2 linked regions of the Struthio camelus genome follow. The protein of the gene in region 1 purifies or fractionates together with the protein of each later gene. This does not show direct contact. Links are inferred from orthologs where the notes say so. Each region holds a gene or a part of one and is shown in the gene's direction. Other genes may lie near its edges.

The links.
Region 2: the proteins of KLHL15 (region 1) and NUDCD3 purify together in Homo sapiens (co-immunoprecipitation; 3 studies listed by BioGRID and IntAct, with this or other methods). This does not show direct contact. The link is inferred for Struthio camelus from reciprocal best matches to the Homo sapiens genes KLHL15 and NUDCD3.

Annotation. Positions count from the first base shown.
Region 1 is NC_090942.1:135,260,553-135,269,958, forward strand, and holds the start of KLHL15 (kelch-like protein 15), read left to right. Parts: upstream 1-5,025; 5' UTR 5,026-5,110; intron 5,111-5,685; exon of another isoform or gene 5,686-6,025; intron 6,026-9,148; exon of another isoform or gene 9,149-9,251; intron 9,252-9,406. Other genes in the region: EIF2S3 (eukaryotic translation initiation factor 2 subunit 3), read right to left, coding at 1-15, 1,498-1,619, 1,748-1,875, 2,389-2,452, 4,568-4,636. UniProt on the Homo sapiens protein: Substrate-specific adapter for CUL3 E3 ubiquitin-protein ligase complex.
Region 2 is NC_090968.1:1,536,928-1,546,333, forward strand, and holds the start of NUDCD3 (nudC domain-containing protein 3), read left to right. Parts: upstream 1-4,428; 5' UTR 4,429-4,517; coding exon 4,518-4,715; intron 4,716-7,617; exon of another isoform or gene 7,618-7,715; coding exon of another isoform or gene 7,716-7,787; intron 7,788-8,231; coding exon 8,232-8,545; intron 8,546-9,406. Other genes in the region: PGAM2 (phosphoglycerate mutase 2), read left to right, coding at 1-7, 1,785-1,965, 2,270-2,439.

The DNA of each region.
Region 1 (9,406 bases):
ACAAAAGAGACGTGCCTGTAGGTACAAGGAAGGTAGAAAGAAATCCAAAAGCCAATTATCAACAATTTCTGTGACTGGTTCACATGAACGCTAAGTAGACACAAAGGTTAAAAACCATCCTTAAAAAAAGAAAGAACATATAGCAAACACAAAAGAAATGAACGCTTCAACAGAGATGCTGAGAAGTGAAAATTGTAAGTATTTTCATAAAAACAAAGACTACAGAATCAGCTACTGAATATTTTTTCTGAGTTTTAAGATTCAATGCTGTATCTTCATACTAGGTATGGCTTTAATATTTCACAGATTTACATAAGTCAGACCTAGTTTACACGTACCAGATTTTAAAAAACCCACATACACAGGATATAGCATATTGTACTTGATTTCTCTTACGCGTTTTAAAAGATGTCTCCCATTCTCGAAAATGTGTGCCTTTAATTACATAGTTACAATTGCACTTCACTTCTAAGAAGTATGTACACTGACAACATTACAGGTGTTAGTTCCAATCTCACAATTCTACTGTGCAGCCTGTAATAATTGAGGCACTACATTCTTGTATGAACTACATTCACCAAGAATCCTTGTTTCTTGGTAGCGTGCCACCAAAAAGCAAGGAACTGACTTGCTGCTAGCTGGCAAGGTTAAAAATGTACAATTAGCAAACGAACAGTAAGTGAAAGAATCCAAAGCTTTAAGCGATAGTTTAACAATGGCTGCATAACTCTCACACTCCACCAAAAACTGTTAGAACAAATGTCCTACTGGGAATCTGAGGAAAGGAAGGAAATACGTGATTACAGCAGTAACAGTATTTTACACATAAGCACAAACTAGGAGTCTTGTTGTACAACTGCCTTTGTGACTAGTCCCATTTGAACAATCAATCACTGCCTTTGTGACTAGTCCCATTTGAACAATCAGTTACTGCAAAGACCAACAAAACTGCTGTGGAGACGATGCTTGCAGCTATGCTTTATTAGAAACGAAGTAAATAAAGGATGCCTGACCCCTAGTTACAGGCCTGATCTCATGATAAGCATCAAGGTCTCATAGATCCATTTTAAGAACTCTGTTGCACTTTTTCTTCCTACAAGCGGAAAAGTCTTTGAAGATTACACTCCAAAAAGGATTTTCAAAAATGGATTTGTGGGGTTCACAGTAGTTCTTACTGGTGGCTTTAAAATGTACTTAGAATAAGAGCAGAAAAAAAAAATTACTAAATAGTCTTAAAAAATAACCAAGGACAGAAAATACTGCTATGCTTTTCCCTGGATTGTGCACCATCACTAATATTTAACAAAAAAAAAAAAAAAAAGGCAGTTTAAATGATACCTTAGAGGTTAGGGGTACCCCACTTACAGCCTGCAAGAGCATGTGGTCTACCAGAACCATTCATTCACCTTGCAGCTCAATCCGGACTATTTTCAGTCACAAGAAGGGAAGCACAAACAAGCAAAACACAGTTTGTATCTTCCATTTTACAGCAGTTACCTGACTAGTTTAAAATTCCCTTTGGTGCCAGGAATATCTGTAGGGAACTCATCTGGGGTGCTACTTCCACAAGATCGGTAACACTCTGGTCGGGAACAGCTTGGGTCATCCAGCTTGTAAATCTGTAAGTATTTTTTAAAAATTAGAAGAAGTTTAATGAATCAAAAGCCTGTTACAAGCTTATGTCCAACGTCAAATACATTAGTAAGTCAAATTGAACATAAGTGCTAGGTTCATTGTAATGACTCACCTTGGCATTAGCATAACCCAGCTTGATTGTGATATTTCTTTCCAGTTCATTTTTAAATCTGACAGTATGAACTCCAGATATAGCTTTGACTACTGTCGACTTTCCATGGGCTACGTGGCCAATTGTACCTATGTTTTAAAAGCAAATGTGTGTGAGTAAACAGCTGTTTAATTTGTATAACGTTCCATTACACGGTATGCTACTGCCCCAAACCCTCTGGAGCCAGCAGGTCCAGAGCTCCCTTCAGAAGCACAAATGGATTCCTTCATCATTTTTGTTCAAACAAATAAAATCCTAAGATAAGCTCTAAACAGATAAATCTTTGCATTTTCATGTAACTCATTTTACTGTCCAATTTTAAGATACAATATTACTCCCCAATTACCCCCCAACCATCCTTCAATATAATATTCTTGCAAAAAACCACAGTGATTTTCAAGGTAAAAGGGTCTCACAAGTTTTCCGTTTCTTGATAACATTTAAAATGCAAACACTATGTCTAGGAACTATGTTTATATCTGTATTACTGTCTGCTTCAATAAGAACATTTTAAAAATTCTGTCACATAGGTACCATATGCTAATGCATGAGCACCAGAGTCACAGTAAGGCCCCCCTCTTTTTTAGACATTTATTTTTTACCTATATTAATTGTGGCTTGTCTGCTGATGACTTCTGGTGAGAGAGGTGTCAGCTTGGTAACATCCTGTATGAAGAAGACTTTACAATTTATTCACTTTGTATTTAAACGCTTAAAGAGTACTATGTGCGTCTTATTAAAAATTATTTATTAATTCTACGAAGCAAAATCCAACTAAGCTAATTAAAATAATTCTAGATATGAATTCTATTATTCTAAATATGTGAAGCAGGACACAAGGGAACAAAACCCTACAACCAATATAGGTCACAAAGCATTAAGGAAGGACGGAAGTAAAAATAAATAAATAATAAATAAATAAACAATACAACGAAAAAATGAATAAAAATAAATAATAAGTAAATAATAAATAAACAACAAAACAGAAAACTAAAACCAAAAGCAACTCCCCCAAAACTTGTCATACAAAACAGACAAATTCATATTAATTTTCCATGCGTGAAATGAGCAATTGTACTTCTGTTTTTAAAGTAAACGTTTATCACAAAAGGAATGGTCCATCACAATCAACATGTAAGTACAACTTACTGGTAGCATGTGTCAAATCAGAACACTTACAGATACATTCACTAGCGGGGAAAAAAAAAAAGAAAACAACCCTAACAACTCTAAGACAGCTTTTTTCTTTTAAGGCTATTTGTTCCAATACTGGATAAACATTGAAATCCACTGAAACGTTCTTCTGCGCTATTTCTGAGATTGTTCACAGTTAATTTCAAGGCCTGAAGGCCTGATCCTGCACCGAGTCCATGTGGGTGGGCTGCTGAGTTCAAGCAAAGATCCACAATGCCAGAACAGTTCTCAGTGCAGGACGTCACACAAATACTTTGTGAAGATGCATACAGTACACGTGCATACACACTAATTGGCACAGAATCATATACTGTCTACACTGTCATACAGACAGATTCTGTGCACAGTGATGAAATACAATCTTATGCAGTTAAGGCTAAGTTCAGGCCTATAATGAGCAAGTTCATTCTACCCATTACATTTTCATGAATTTCACTCATTGTATTTTAGCTTATTTTCAGGAATTACATGAACTTAGTATTCAGGTTCAACAGATAAACAAGTTTTGTTCATTTAACAGAGGCGCTTGAATATATACTTCTTGTACACCCAACTTAACATGACTAGATCTACTGAAGTCAGAAGGGGGGACGTGACCTGCAGACGGCACTATATAGTAGGATGACATGCATATACGCATGACGCAAAACCTGTCATCAACAGAGCTGCTCCCAGCACACAATTACGTACGTATGCATTTTTTTCCCTCAAGACTAGTATAAGGTTAAGTTTGGCTATAAGCTCCAGCCAAATGCGAGCACTCAACAGCCAAATGAAATTAATACAGGACAGGGCTTAAGCATAATTCATACTGACCTCCCAGTTAAGCACGTCTGCTCTTTTTCCAGTTGGCAAATACCAAGGCCAACCAGAAAAGGAAGCGAGTAAAGGAACCTTCTGAAACAATTAACATGCTTCACTCCTGAGTATCAACATGCTTACGTACAACACGGAGAAAACTCCTGTGCTCAGAAACGTTAACACTGTAAAGACAAAAATAACCCCTAATTTGCTGAAAACCAGGGAGACAGCAACCAGTGGGACTTCTGACTGGCTCTGCCTGCGTACATGAAGAAAGTGAGACAGCCGCGGCTAGGCATCTATTCGGCGAGCCGACCACAGCGAGAGACCCTCTGCGACTGATTTCCTGGTGGTCTTTGCGGAGCACACAAAGACCAACCCAGACGGCGCAGGCAAGCAAACTGCCTAGCCCCCTCGGAGAAGAGAAAACCAAAGCGCAATTCTCCTTCGGGCAAAGCAGCCTTTGAGGAGGAGGGCGCGGCACGTCCCCCACCGTCGCCACACGAAGGCCTCCCCTGCCGAGGGAGCCGGGAGGCAAGCCCACCGAGCTCCGCTCTCCTCTCACGGCTCCAGCGAGCCAGGGGCCCCATCCCGCCCGCCCCGCCCAGCCTGACCGGCTCCCGCGGCCGGCCCGGAGCGCCGCCCGGCCCCGCGCCCCCTCCCCGGCCCCGCCGCCCTGCCAGCCGGCGGCCCCCAACGGCCGCCCGGCCCGGGGGCGGGGGAGCCCGCATCCCTTCAGCCTCCGCGTGCCGGCGGCCCCGCCGCCCGCCGCCGCGCCCCCCTCACCAAGGTGGCGAGGTCCTGCCGGGAGAGGTGCGGCTGCCCCAGAGTCACTCCCGCCTCATCCCCCGCCATCTTTGCCCGAAGAGGAAGCGAGGAGCCCGCGGCGGCCGCCTGACCCCCGGCGGGGCTCGGCGCCGCCGCCGCCCGCGCCCCGCCCGCCGCCCGCCCGGCGGTACCGAGGCGCTCGGCTCGGGCCGCCGCCTCGCGGAGCGGCGCGGGGCCGCCGCCAGGCACGCCGCGGGGCGGGAGCGGCTCAGGCGCGCGGCGGGGCAGCCCCGGGAAGGACCCCGCGTCTGCCTCGCGCCGGGGTGATGCAACCGGGCCTGCGGCAGGCGCCGCTCCGCGTGCGCCAGCGCCGCGAGCCGGGCGGGGGCCGTGCGCGTGCGCGCGCGGGTGGCGGGCAGCGGGGCGGGGCCGCGGCGCGCGTGCGCAGTGCGCGCCCGCCGCCCCTCCCCCCCCCATCTTCAGGGAACGGTCGTGAGCCCGGGGCGACGGGGCCGTTGCGCGGGCGGAGGCGCTGAAGAGAGGGAGGGGGGATGGCGAGAGGTGAGCTCCTTCAGACGTACCGTCAGGGACGGTTTGTGCTTGGTCTTACACGCAGCCTCGCGTTCCTGTGGCAGTGACAAACGCCTCATAAATTAGCGTGTTTTAAGTATTTCTGTTGAAAAGGGGTTGTCTCTTGTCTTTAGAACTGCAGGCTGCCTGGGCCCCGCTGTTATTTTATATTATTGCGGTATGTAATACCTAAAATGTAGTCGCTTCGATGCTGTAATCAAGATGGGGGCTGGTTTTGCTGAGAGCTGTACCAAAAGAATGAGTTTCTTTCTGTGGTTATGGATGGCAGTGAGGATCAGCTTTTGTTGATGCATATGCAACAGCAAGAAAATGCAGGTTTATCTAGCACAGTAAATGGGCATGAGGCAGAAAAGAGGATAAGGGTGAAAATGACAACCAGATGTGTTTGTATGCACTAGAAAAGAGAACACCTAATTTGATGTCAGAGCATTTGTGTTTGTGTTTTTACGGTAAAATGTCACTATACAAATGTTAGTAATCTTTGCTGGCCATCTGCCTAACAAGATTTTGAATGTCAACCTTCTTCTTCTTGCTGTCTTTTGTAGGCTCAGTGCTTAGTGGTATAGAGAACATATGGACATAAGACCCTGCCCCAAGAATGAACAGCTCGAATCTTTCATACCAGACAACTAAAACCCCCACCACATGCATGCTGTTTTCAGATTTGGGCACAACATAAGTGCTTTAAAATTCAAATAAAATCCCTGGTGCAGTGATGACAGCCAGCTTGGAAGTTTAACAGAGACTATGAGATAACGGCCAAATTCCTAGCCCTTCCACTTGGAAACTCAAACTGTCTCCTTCATGGAAACCTCTTCTTACAGGCATAGAGGCTATTGCTCCTAGTAGGATTTCTTCTATGATCTCAGAGAAACAGGTTTCAATGTAAGTAACCGTTGTGTCAAATACATCCATGTTCATCAGCAGTGTCTTTGCCTACTGAAAAATGTGAAGGTACTCGGATATTGCCTGGCTAACTGGGTGACAAAAATAGGTTTGGAATACCCGACAACGTGACTGAAGTGTGATGATGGAAATCTGTACAAAACTGGTATGCCTGGCTTAAAAATGCTTGTAACCTCCCACTTTCACAAATCCTAATATTTCCATTTCTTTCCTGAAACAAGATTCAGACGTGAGTTTTACTCCAAAAAACCTAGAGCAAGTGCATTGGCAGCATTCTTGTTTTGAAGAAATGAATATGCGAATGTAGCAAGAAACCTTACAGTGGATGCAGTGATGTTGCCAGTGATAAACTCTGTTTTGTCCTGCAACACAATAGTTCTGCACAAATTGACCAAAAATGAATATAAATCTACTATAAATCCAAAATACATGAAATAAAAAACTATAAAATTATATACAAAATGTAAAATTAAAAAATTTGTATCTAGTCTTTTTCAGGCTAGATGATGTATTACAATTTTCAATAAATTATCCCACTTCTAGGAAAAAGAGTAGATGCTTATGACTGAGGTACACAAAGTATGATGGGAGCATGATGCAATACTTGGTTATAGTTGCCTGGACTTCTAGGCATGTATAATCACTGTTTTGTGAAAATGAGCTGAAAATACCAGGCTCTGTACTTATTTAGCTGTGTAAATTATACAACAGCACAGTGCAATATAAAATTATAGAAGCAGTTTTTGTCACATTTGCAATAGCCTTTATAAATGATTTAATCCTTGCCAAGAGATGTTAGGCATCTGAAAAAGTACACAAACCGTTTCTCCTACTTTAAAAATAAAATTATACATTTCACATATTCTGAGATGGTCTTACTTTGATTCACTCCATTTTTGAGTTCTCCTAATATGAAGAAAAAACCAGAAAAGTCTAAAGACTGGCAAATGTCTAATAAAACAGGATAAAACCTCACGTTTTTAGGAACTGTCAAGTGTATTACTCATACACCTATACATATAAAATAAATAAGGTTTAAAACTACACAAATGAAATGGCAACTAGTGTACTAATATAGCTCAAACACTCAAGTGCATAATTTTATGGTAATAGTCTCATTTATGTCAGTGGGAACTACTTAGCAACCGAGATTGTACAGATGCCTAAATGAGAGGTTTCCATCCAAATCTCCATTTGCATTAATGCTCATTAAGGTAATACTGACACCAGTGGTCGTTGGCTGGGGCTCAAAGTTAATAACGTTTTTAGTTAGGAGATTAAAATTGAGGCATTATTAACGCATTTTGATTTTTTCATTAGAAGCAAATTGTCTAATGTGAAGGAGAAGGAGGTTTGTTTTGTTGTGCTTTTTTATGTTGACAGTGAGTATGTCAAAGCTGTCAGGAGGCAGTTTGGCTTGGTTTGAGGTTGTCTTCTGTGGCAGTGTATGGGAGACCTAAAGATCGTCTTATACGTCGGCCGGCCACAAACTGCCAACAGCAAAATGACAGCTGAAACCAAAACAGTCCTGCTAGCTCTTTCCACCTTTAACTGACCTATGAAGGTGAAAAGTCTGAAGAGAGCAGAAAGTTGTTCATGTTGTATCATTTCTGTACAAAATATTTATTTCCTACTCCAATTTTTCTTTACTGAAGCATGAGTGTGCTATGAGTGGGTATGTGGTTGGAACAGCAGAGGACATATATCCTATGACTAAGGATGAGAATGTCTTTTCTCTGTAAGACTTAGAGGGCAGCAACAGTAGCTCTCTTGGAGAGAGTCAATAGATAAACGTTAGTTTGTTTAACCATAACTGCATTAGTAACAGGTTTTGAAGCAGTGACCGGGGAAACGGGGCAAATTTACTGCATGAGTTAGGGCACGAGATGGAATGGTATGAAGTTAGCTGAGTAGAGAGAGGTCAGGTTGTTGGTATGATGGAGTGAATGGGAGCCGGCTGATTGTAGTGTGGCCTAAGTAGGCCGTGAGGGAGCAGTAGGAGGTCAGTTAGCAGAGTGGGAATAGCAGTGGGAAGTCTTCTGTGAAGCAGTGCACGGCATAGCTGGTTGGTTGTGGAGCTATGAAAGGTGGGAAGGGCATTCAGATTGGGGGTGGCAGTTACAGAGCAGTTATGTTCTTGTGTCATAAATCAAGAATGGGATGGGGGTGGTAATGAGAGACTGAAAATAGATAGTGAAAGGGATGGGAACAGCAATAAACAGAGAGGATGGCAGCGTGTGGCCTGTTATTAAAGGCAGCAAGTGAGATAGAAGGTGATGGGAGAGGTACAGTAGCAGGTAGTGAATGGTTTGGGGGTGGCAGTGGCAGACCAATGGTCGACACAGTTTAGCGCGCTGTCATTACATGGGTGGGAAGTGTTGGCTGTTTTTCCTTCTTGCACTGAAGTCACTGATTGCTGGGCAAGGGCAAGCTGCAGAAAGCAAGGAGGTGAAGTTTGGGCTAGGGCAGAAACCTGCTCATCCCCTGCTGGGCCGCGGTTTCCTGTCAGCTACGCGCAGTTTGCTGCCCCAGGGCAGCTATGCTAGCAAGCAGGGCCTGTGGCTCTGGTGACCCGATTCTCACTGTGGCAAGAAGACAGCTGTAGGGTCAGCCCGCAGCACCCGAGGGTGGCCAGCTGTCAGGGGAGGGAGTTCAACAAGCTCCTGAAAGGGGTTGTCGTCGGTCGGGGCGCGTTTCTGTGCAACATCTTGTGCTGCTGCCCAAGAAAACGGAGAGGAGGAAAACTGATGATAAACGAGACCTCTGCAAAACCGGGACCGGGCTTGGAAACTGAAGGGCGGAACAAAACAACAAGCCTCAAAGGGACCAAAAGCATATAGATACTTGTGGAAGACTGTAGTAACAGGCCAAACATAACGATGCTTCTTGCTACTGCCTTCCCCATCCCCAGCCAGACGCGGCCGCCGCTGGCCTCTCGCGAGGGACTTTTCTTCCCCGGGGGGCGCCGGGTCTCCCCCGCGGCTGCCGGTGTCAGTCAGCGGGAGGGGCTCGGCGGCTGGCTGGCCGGCCCCGGAGAGTCCCGGGGATGTCGCCGGCGGCGGCCCGCGGTGCCGGGCGCGGCCCCCCGTTCCCGTTCCCGCCCCCGCCCCGGCGGGCCCGCAGGTGGCAGCGGAAGTGACGGCCGGCGCGGGGCGCCTGTCGCGGGGGAAGATGGCGCCTGCGGCCGCGCTAGGCAGCGCAGAAGGTAAACAAGCGTGAGCGGCGGGGGGCGGGGAGCGGCCCAGAGCGCCGGGGCCCGGGCGGCGCGGCGCGGCGCGGCGCGGCGGGGGGCGGCTCCCCACCTCCCCCCGAGCACCGACGGCGGGGAGGAGGGAGCCCAGGATCCCCCCTTCTTCCTCC
Region 2 (9,406 bases), on another chromosome or scaffold:
CAGCAAGGTGGGTGGCTTCCCCCCCCCGCAGCCCTGCCTGCACCCCCCTGCACCCTCCCTGCACCCGTGTCTGCACCCGCAGCCCTGCCTGCACCCATGTCTGCACCCCCCCGCACCCCCCTGCACCCCCTGCACCCATGTCTGCTCCCCCTGCACCCGTGTCTGCACCCGCAGCCCTGCCTGCACCCCCTGCACCCCCCCTGCACCCCCCTGCACCCCCTGCACCCATGTCCGCTCCCCCTGCACCTGTGTCTGCACCCGCAGCCCTGCCTGCACCCCCTGCACCCCCCCTGCACCCCCCTGCACTGCCTGCACCCATGTCTGCTCCCCCTGCACCTGTGTCTGCACCCGCAGCCCTGCCTGCACCCCCTGCACCCCCCCTGCACCCCTGTCTGCTCCCCCTGCACCCATGTCTGTTCCTGCAGCCCTGCCTGCACCCCCCTGCACCCCCCCTGCACCCCCCTGCACCCCCTGCACCCATGTCTGCTCCCCCTGCACCCGTGTCTGCACCCGCAGCCCTGCCTGCACCCCCTGCACCCCCCCTGCACCCATGTCTGCTCCCCCTGCACCCGTGTCTGTTCCTGCAGCCCTGCCTGCACCCCCTGCACCCCCCCTGCACCCATGTCTGCTCCCCTGCACCCCCCCTGCACCTGCAGCCCTGCCTGCACCCCCCCTGCACCTCCCTGCACCCGTGTCTGCACCCCCCGTAAGCCCCCAACACCTGTGTCTGCACCCACAGCCCTGCCTGCACCCCCAGCACCCGTGTCTGCAACCCCCTGTAACCCCCCCGCAGCCCTATCTGCACCCGCAGCCCTGCCTGCGCCCCCCCACAACCCCCGCTGCACCCGTGTCTGCACCCGTAGCCCTGCCTGCACCCCCCACACCCATGTCTGCACCCGTGTCTGCACCCATATCCTGCCTGAGCACCCCCTGCACCACTGCCTGCACCCCCAGCGGTGTCTGCACCCCCCCAGCCCCCATATCCTGCCTGCACCCGTCTCTGCACCCTACATGCAATCCTGCCTGCAGCCCCACGTGCCCCCACGTGCCCCCACAACCCCACTCGCACCCTGTCCCCCCCCCACAGCCACATCAGGCCATGGGGACAGGAAGGGACGTGAGGGGACAGGGACATGGAGGAATGGGAACGCAAGGGAATGAGGATGGGGGGGCTTGAGGGCATGGGGGGACACGGGGGGATATGGGGACATGGGGGGATGTGGGGCGATATAGGGACACGGGGGGACATGGAGGGAACAGGGATGGGGGGACATGGGATATGGGGACATGGGGGGAACGTGGACATGAGGGGACATGGGGGGATATGGGGACATGGGGGGAACATGGACATGGAGGGACACGGGGGGTCATGGGGAACATGGGGGGATATGGGGACACAGACTGATATGGGGGGACACGGAGGGAACAGGGATTGGGGACATGGGGGGAACATGGACATGGGGGACATGGGGGATAGGGGGACATGGAGGGATAAGGGGGGACACGGAGGGAACAGAGATGGGGGACACGGGAATGGGGACGTGGGAGCACGTGAGATATGGGGACATGGGGGGGATGTGGACACGGGGGGACACGGGGGGATATGAGGACATGGGGGGACGTGGGGAGATATCGGGACATGGGAGGGACACGGCAGGAACAGGGATAGGAGACATGGGGACAGGAGGGGAACGTGGACACGGGGCGACACGGAGGGAAGGGGACGAGGGGAGAGAGGGGGACAGCAGGAGGGTAACGGGGCGGCACGGTGACCCCCCCCCCAGGACCGGCGCTACGCCGAGCTCAAGCCCGGCGAGCTGCCCAGCTGCGAGAGCCTCAAGGACACCATCGCCCGGGCTCTGCCCTTCTGGAACGAGCACATCGTGCCCCAGATCAAGGCCGGCAAGCGGGTGCTCATCGCCGCGCACGGCAACAGCCTCCGCGGCATCGTCAAGCACCTCGAAGGTGGGTGCCAGCCACCCTGCCGGCGGCCCCCGCGGGTGCTGGGTCTCCGTTCCCCCTGCCGCTGAAGGTCAAGGCTATTTCCAGCTCCTCTGGCCTTTCCTCTTTCCCGGCCGGCTCAGGTTTCCCCCCTCCCCGAAGCCGGTTGGGTTGCGTTGGGTTGGGTCAGGTTGGGTTGGGTCGGGTTGCGTTGGGTTGGGTCAGGTTGGGTTGGGTCGGGTTGGGTTGGGTTGGGGGGGGGATCTGGGCGTCCCCACCGACCACCGGCTTGACGCGCACGTCCCTGTCCCCCAACGCCGCGCCGCAGGGATGTCGGACGCGGCCATCATGGAGCTCAACCTGCCCACGGGCATCCCCATCGTCTACGAGCTGGACGCGGCGCTGAAACCCACCAAGCCCATGCAGTTCCTGGGCGACGAGGAGACCGTGCGCAAGGCCATGGAGGCCGTGGCCGCCCAGGGCAAGGTCAAGAAGTGACCGCCCACGAGGGGTGCCCGTGGCCGTGTCCCTGTCCCCCTTTTTCCCCCTTCCCCCTCCCCAAAATAAAGGCTGGCTGGGCCCCACCGCGTCCCACTGTCTGGCTGCCGCTGGGGTGGGCCCACGCGGTGCTCCACTGCTGGGGGGGCTGGGGGAGGTCCCACTGGCTCTCTTGGGGGACTAGGGGGTCCCACTGGCACTATCGGGGGGTTAGGGGGTCCCACTAGGTCTCTTGGGGGGGCTGGAGGGGTCCCATTGGCACTATTGGGGTCTGGGGAGAATCCCACTGGCTCTCTTAGGGGGCTGGGGGGTCCCACTGGCACTATTGGGGGACTGGGGGGTCACACTGGGTCTCTTGGGGACCTGGGGGGGGCTCATTGGCATTATTGGGGGGCTGAGGGATCCCACTGGGTCTCTTAGGGGGGCTGGGGGGTCCCACTGGCACTATCGGGGGGTTAGGGGGTCTCACTAGGTATCTTGGGGGGCTTGGGGGTCCCATTGGCACTATTGGGGGGCTGGAGGGGGACCCATTGGCACTATTGGGGGGGTTGAGGGGGCTGGGGGAGGTCCCATTGGCACTATCAGGGGGCTGGGGGGGTCTCATTGCCATTATTGGGGGCTGGGGGGTCCCACTGGCTCTCTTGGTGGGTCTGGGGGGTCCCATTGCCTCTATTAGGGGCTGGAGGTCCCACTGGCTTTCTTGGGGGGGGCTGGGGGGTCCTATTGTCTCTCTTGTGGGCCTAGGGGGTCCCATTGGCATTATTGGGGGGTTGGGGGAGTCCTACTGGGTCTCTTGGGGGGACTGAGGGGTCCCATTGGCTCTACTGGGAGGCTAGGGGGTCCCACTGGCTCTCTTGGAGGGGCTGGGGGGGTCCCATTGGCTCTATTGAGGGGCTGGGGGGTCCCACTGGCACTATTGGGGGGCTGGGGGGGTCACATTGGGTCTCTTGGGGGCCTGGGGGGTCCCACTGGCACTATTGGGGGGCTGGCGGGGTCACGTTGGGTCTCTTGGGGGGCTGGGGGGTCCCACTGGCACTATTGGGGGGTTAGGGGGTCCCACTAGGTATCTTGGAGGCTGGGGGGGTCCCATTGGCACTATTGGGGGGCTGGGGGGGTCACATTGGGTCTCTTGGGGGGCTGGGGGGTCCCACTGGCACTATTGGGGGGTTAGGGGGTCCCACTACGTATCTTGGAGGCTGGGGGGGTCCCACTGGCACTATTGGGGGGCTGGGGGGGTCACATTGGGTCTCTTGGGGGGCTGGGGGGTCCCACTGGCACTATTGGGGGGCTGGGGGGGTCACATTGGGTCTCTTGGGGGCCTGGGGGGTCCCACTGGCACTATTGGGGGGCTGGCGGGGTCACGTTGGGTCTCTTGGGGGGCTGGGGGGTCCCACTGGCACTATCGGGGGGTTAGGGGGTCCCACTAGGTATCTTGGAGGCTGGGGGGGTCCCATTGGCACTATTGGGGGGCTGGGGGGGGCTCAGGCGGCACTGGGGGGGCTGGGGGGCTCCTGCGGCACTGTGGGGCAGGGCGGGGGGACCCCACGGGCACCGCGGGACCCCGAGGGGTCCATGGGGCCGGAGGAGGGGGGGGGCACTGACCCCTGGGGCCGGGGCCCCGTGGGAGGCGCTGGCCGGGCCTGTCCCCGGGGCACCCGGCACCGCCATTGCCGGCCACGGCGGGCGGCGGGAGGCCCTGGACGGCGGCGGGGGCTCCCGGCTCCCCGGGGGCTCCGCGGGGCGCCATGGGGCCGCGGGGATGGCGGCGGCGACCCCCGACCGCGCCCGCCCGACTGCCCACAACCAAGATGGCGCCTGCCGCCTCGCCTGCCGTCACGTGGGGCGGCGGCGGTCTAGCTCGGCCTCCGCGCTCGCTGCCTCGGAACCTTGCCGCGCGGAGCGGGAGGGCGGGGGGGGGAGAGGAGGGAACGGTTTCCGGACGGGCCGCTGAGGGCGGCGGGCCGCTGGCGGAAGCGCGGGGGGCGCTGTCGGGGGCGGACCGGAAGCGCCCGCCGGGCCCGGTTGCCGTGACAGCGGCGGCGGCGGCGGCGGCGGGGGGGGCGAAGGCCGGAGCCGCCATGGAGGCCGCGGCGGCGCTGACCGACATGTACGACCAAGCGCTGCTCGGCATCCTGCAGCACGTCGGCAACGTGGAGGAGTTCCTGCGCGTCCTCTTCGGCTTCCTCTACCGCAAGACCGACTTCTACCGCCTCCTGCTGCGGCCCGGCGACCGCCTGGGCTTCCCGCCCGGCGCCGCCCAGGCCATGGCCCTCCAGGTACCGGCGGGGCGGCCCCGGGCCTCGCCGCGGCCCCCCGCCCCGGCTCGGCGCCTGAGGGCCCCCGAGAGCGCCCCCCGCCGCGGCCCTGCCCTCCGAGCCGGCCCCGAGGCCTTGGAGGCCTCAGGGTGGCCGGTGGCCTCGGGAGGGTCGGCGGCCGGGCCGGGCTGTCGGGCAGGGAGGCCTGAAGGCCCCGTCGGTTGCTGTTGTCCTTCCCGTTGAGCTTTGCAGGCGTGTTTGCGGAGCGACGGTCCCCGCCGTCTTTGCAGGGGTGGATGTCTCACCCGGTGCTGGAGCCGGAGGGGAGAGGGTGGCTGCCTGGACCTGCCTTGTAGCAGCAGCCTGTGGGGCAAGACCCAGGAAGGTGGGGGACCCCGAGACCAGGAGGCCACACAGTAAAGCTCCAGCTTGCTGCTGCTGCCTAGTATGCTCCTTGCTGTTCCTCAGAGGAGCAGGGGCAAGGTGGGAGAGGTGTCCTGGCAGATTGATGGGGGAGTGGATGGCAAGGATCGCCCTTAACAAGAGGACAAGGAGCCCCAAAGGGCAGGCAGGGCCTGTGAGGCCTTCGCGGGAGGAGCTGGGGCCTGATGCCCTCTCGGAGCTCAGGCAGTGTCGAGGGCAACAGGCGAAGAAGGCAACTGCCAGCAGCACTTTGGGCAAGTGGGGTTCGCTTTAGGGCTCGCCAGATGCTGCTGACCCAAACTGCGGGAGCTGGGGCTCCTGGGTAGCAGGAAAAAGCGAGAAGAGACTGTGGATGTCACGTGGAGGGCAGGGCCTTTTTGCGTTGCTGGTAGCAGTCAGAGAGACGGCAAATGCTCCAAACTCTTGTTTCCACAGCTGAGCTGGGCTGGGCTTGGTATTTTGAAAACTGAGCGCTAGAGGTCTCTGACTCAAGGCTGTCGCAGTCTGTTATTAATCTTTATTAGGAAGGAGGAAAAGGGCTGAGAGAGATGGGGGCCTGGCTTGGTGGAGGTGTTCATCTGCTCAGACTAGGGCTTCTTCCCAGCTCTGGCAGCCCGTGGACACGAAGCGGTGGCAGACAGGCCGATGCGAGACCCCGTTCCCTCTCCCTGCGCCCACCCTGGGGTGGCCCACGGCGGGAGGGAGCCTGTGTCGCCGACCCCCCGGCTGGCGTGTCCCTGTCGCCCAGGGTTGCACCCTGCCGCGGGCCTTTGCCGCTTAGCTGTTGTGGTGGCTCTCACGTTTTCCCCAGGGACTGTTTTGGGCTTGTGTGCAAGGAGGGAGACCACAACGCTGTAACCTAAGTATTTCTCTCCCGAGAGAGATGTTATTTGAGGCTGCCGTTTGCTTGCTCCCTGGCCCTAGCCATGAGGGTCTGGAGTGAAGAGACTGCTCGAGGCATAGGGTGGTGTGGGGTGCTTCAGAGGGACTTTTTGTCCCCTCTCCTGGCTCGGGGCTTTGGCTGTAGCCCGAGGGGAAGGAGATGGGTTTGAGGTGTCACCCTGGGTGATCTGCCTCAGGCTGCTTTGAGCTTCGTTTTTGGTGGCGGGTCAGGGGAAACGGTCTATGAATAGCACGTTTGAGTCATGGCCTGGGATTCCTGTGGAGATGTAAGGTAATGCCGTGCCTTGACCTCTCTCGGGGAGGGCGATATCTCTCCGTTTGGGATATTTGCCCTTTAGACTGATCTTGGCTTCACCCGCTCCTGCCCGGGGTCTGGTCGCAGAGCAGCTGCCGCCCTCGGAGCAGCCGCGGGGCTATTTTCATCAGCTCGCTGCCAGGCTGAGCGGGCGCTGCCGGCGGGGTGGGCGCAGGAAAAAAAGGCTGTGAGCTCGAGAGAAGGAGCTGGGGGTGGGCACTGAGGAAAGCCGGGACACGGAGGAGTGGGGAAAAAGAAAGGGATCTCAAAGGGAGAGGAGTGGGACAAATGTCCATCTCCCTCCTCTCCCTTCTCTCGGGCTGCTTTGTCCCGCAGGCCTCTTCCCTGAGCAGGGAACAAGCTCTGGTTAAGGGGAATAAGGCAGACCCAATGTGACGCTGCGCGTGTCCTGCTGTAACAGCACTCGTGTGAGGCCTCCCCGCACTGCCCCCCCTTGCCTTACAAGTACCGAACACAGAGGAAGAAATCAGATCTGCCGGTGCTGCTGCACGCCCTGGCTGGCCTGGGTGTGCCTGGTCCCCGGCCTAGGATCGGTCTCCTGCGGGAAGCGGAAAGCGCTGAAGTCGGCTCGGAAGTGTTCCCCGGCAGTGTAGGGAAGGGAGCGAGGACTGTATTTGACTCTCGCTTGCTTTCTAGCCCAGGGCGGGTGTTTACCCTGACGAGTTGCACGGTTCTCTGTTGACTGGAAGGAGTTTTAGCTCTGAGGAGGAGGTGGGGGCACAGATCCATAGTCGTCGTACCTCCGTCGGCTTCGGCGCTGCTAGGCTGCTCTGTCCATGTGGCAGATTTGCCTTTTAACCTCCAGCCTGCCCTAGATGGTCACAGCGTCTGCTCTGAACGGCTAGAAGCAAACTTGAGGGTGGAATTATATCTTGTCATACCGTTGCTTCACCTCCCTAAGAAAGAGTGAAGTGTTGGAGTCTGGTACTGTTGCAGGGAGCAGGTGGGCTCAGTTCCCTCTGTGGACCAAACTGAGTTGGCTTATTCGGTTTTGAGGTGTGCTGTGCAAATGCCTGAAATCTGGGGTGAAGCAACAGGGCTCTGCTTTGATGTCCTTTCCCTTGACTCGTTCGGGAGAAAATGCTATCTCCTCGCTGGGGTCAGCTGGCTGGGCCTGGCTTGGGGAGCGACCTTCTTACCCGCCACACCGCTGAGTGGTGCGGAGGGATAGTTTTTCTCTGACAGAGTCCCTTTTTTTCTGCCTGAAAACCAGTCAGTCCTGGCTCAAAACCATGCACAAGGTCACTGTTCGTCTCACTCGTGCTGGCTAAACAAGAGCTCAGAGTCCGTTTGCTCTCAGCCAGCACCCTGCCCGCCCCAGGCTGGACCCTACCCTACCGGCTGTCATGTAGTTTATCCTGGGGGACCTCGTCCTGTTTATGCCTTGGATGTTGGGTTTGAGCTTTGGGCTTCCAAACAGCTCCTTAGTCAGTGCTGGAAGGCAAGATGAGGTGAGGGAAGGTGGGGAACTAGCCGGGAGTTCAGCCAGTATTGATGAGGGTGTGCAGAGCAGGCTGGGGAGGCGAGGGAAAGCTAGTTGCTTTTTGCTGGAATAACCAGCCCCCTTTCCTGTAGCAGAGGCTGATGTGAGTTTGGCTGCTGGAACAGACCCCAAGAAACGGTTTCAAAGCAGCTCCTAGGAATTTGGGCTTTCTCCAAAGATGTCAGGGTGTTTAATGGGGATGTGCGACTTTCAGAACGATCGGTGGCTGGTTTTGTTGGTGATTTAAGCAACTCAGACTTGGCAGGGGTAGGGAGTGGGGGGCACATGGATCCTGGAGAGGGAGGGACAGTGATATGTGCCCCGAGTACATGGCGAGTCTCCTTTCCATCTTCCCCAGCCTCTTAGCCAGAGCTTGGTGGCTTGACGATCTGCTCGGTTCGCTCTCTTTCAGGCATTCAAAGTCTTTGAGCGGATGGCCCGGCAGGACGACGAGAAGAGACGCCGGGAGCTGGAAGCGAAGCTAAGGAAGAAGGAGGAGGAGGAGGCTGCCGCAGCAGCGGAGAGGGTGAAAGCGTCCCCTGCAGCTCAGGAGATCGAGATGGAGTCGACAGCGGAACGCGTGCCGGCACCGGATGCTGGGGGAGCTGCGGGGCCTCGGGAGCTGGCAGCAGCCCAGGACGCAGCCCCGGCAGCACCCAGTTCTGCGTCGGCAGAACCGCCCCGGGCTGCTGCCCCGGCAGAGCCCCGGCCAGCAGAACTGCCCACGTAAGGGTCTCTCTTATGCTACTTCCTTCGTGCCCCTAGCAGGGGGGAGGCAGATGATGGGAGCAGTGCGATTGTGTTAGCTGTTCTGTCTTACAGCCCTTGTCCTTGGGGCAGAGGGGCGGTCACCCCTCCACGGGCACTCGGCTCTTCAGGAAGGTCTCGTGACTTTCCCTTGCGGGCCCCGCGGCTGGAGCAGCTGCGTAATTCCCCGTGGGAGGGCAGAGATCTGCTCCCCTACAGGTACCTTGTTTTTTTCCCCTCCTCTCTGAACAGAGAGGGTATCATGTCTCTGCGCGCAACCCCGCAGAGCAGTTTGTACGAGCTGCCAGCTGAGCCGGTCTGTGAGCCTCCCCCCAGCGCTGGCTGTGGTGAGCTGGATCTCTTTGCCGGTGCTCGGCGTAGTGCAGTTGAGCTGATGGTCCTGCCTGACCGTAGCAGCTCTGGGAAATCCTGGCACCGTCCCGTTACCCTTTTGCACAGCAATTCAGTGTTGGACTCCCCTGGCTCCCCTCTGTATCTGTGTCCTGATAGCATGCTGTGAGACGTCCTAGCAGCCAGGTAGGAGCTCACATAGATAATCGTAATACCGGTGAGTTGCTGTGGGCAGGCCCAGCTGGCAGCGAGGCCAGCAGTGTCGTCAAATACTTTTGGTTGGAAGAGACCTCTGGAGGTCTCGGGTCCAACCCTCTGCTCAGAGCAGGGCCGACTTTGAAGGTGGATCATGTGCTGTGACACATTTTCTCTTGAGCTATGTTCTTTGACCAGACTCGATTGCTTTCAAACTGGGCTAAATGGTTTGTTTTTAAAAGATGTCCTTGCTTCACAGTCCTCCTGGGGTGTCTGTGACTCTTCCACCTTGGG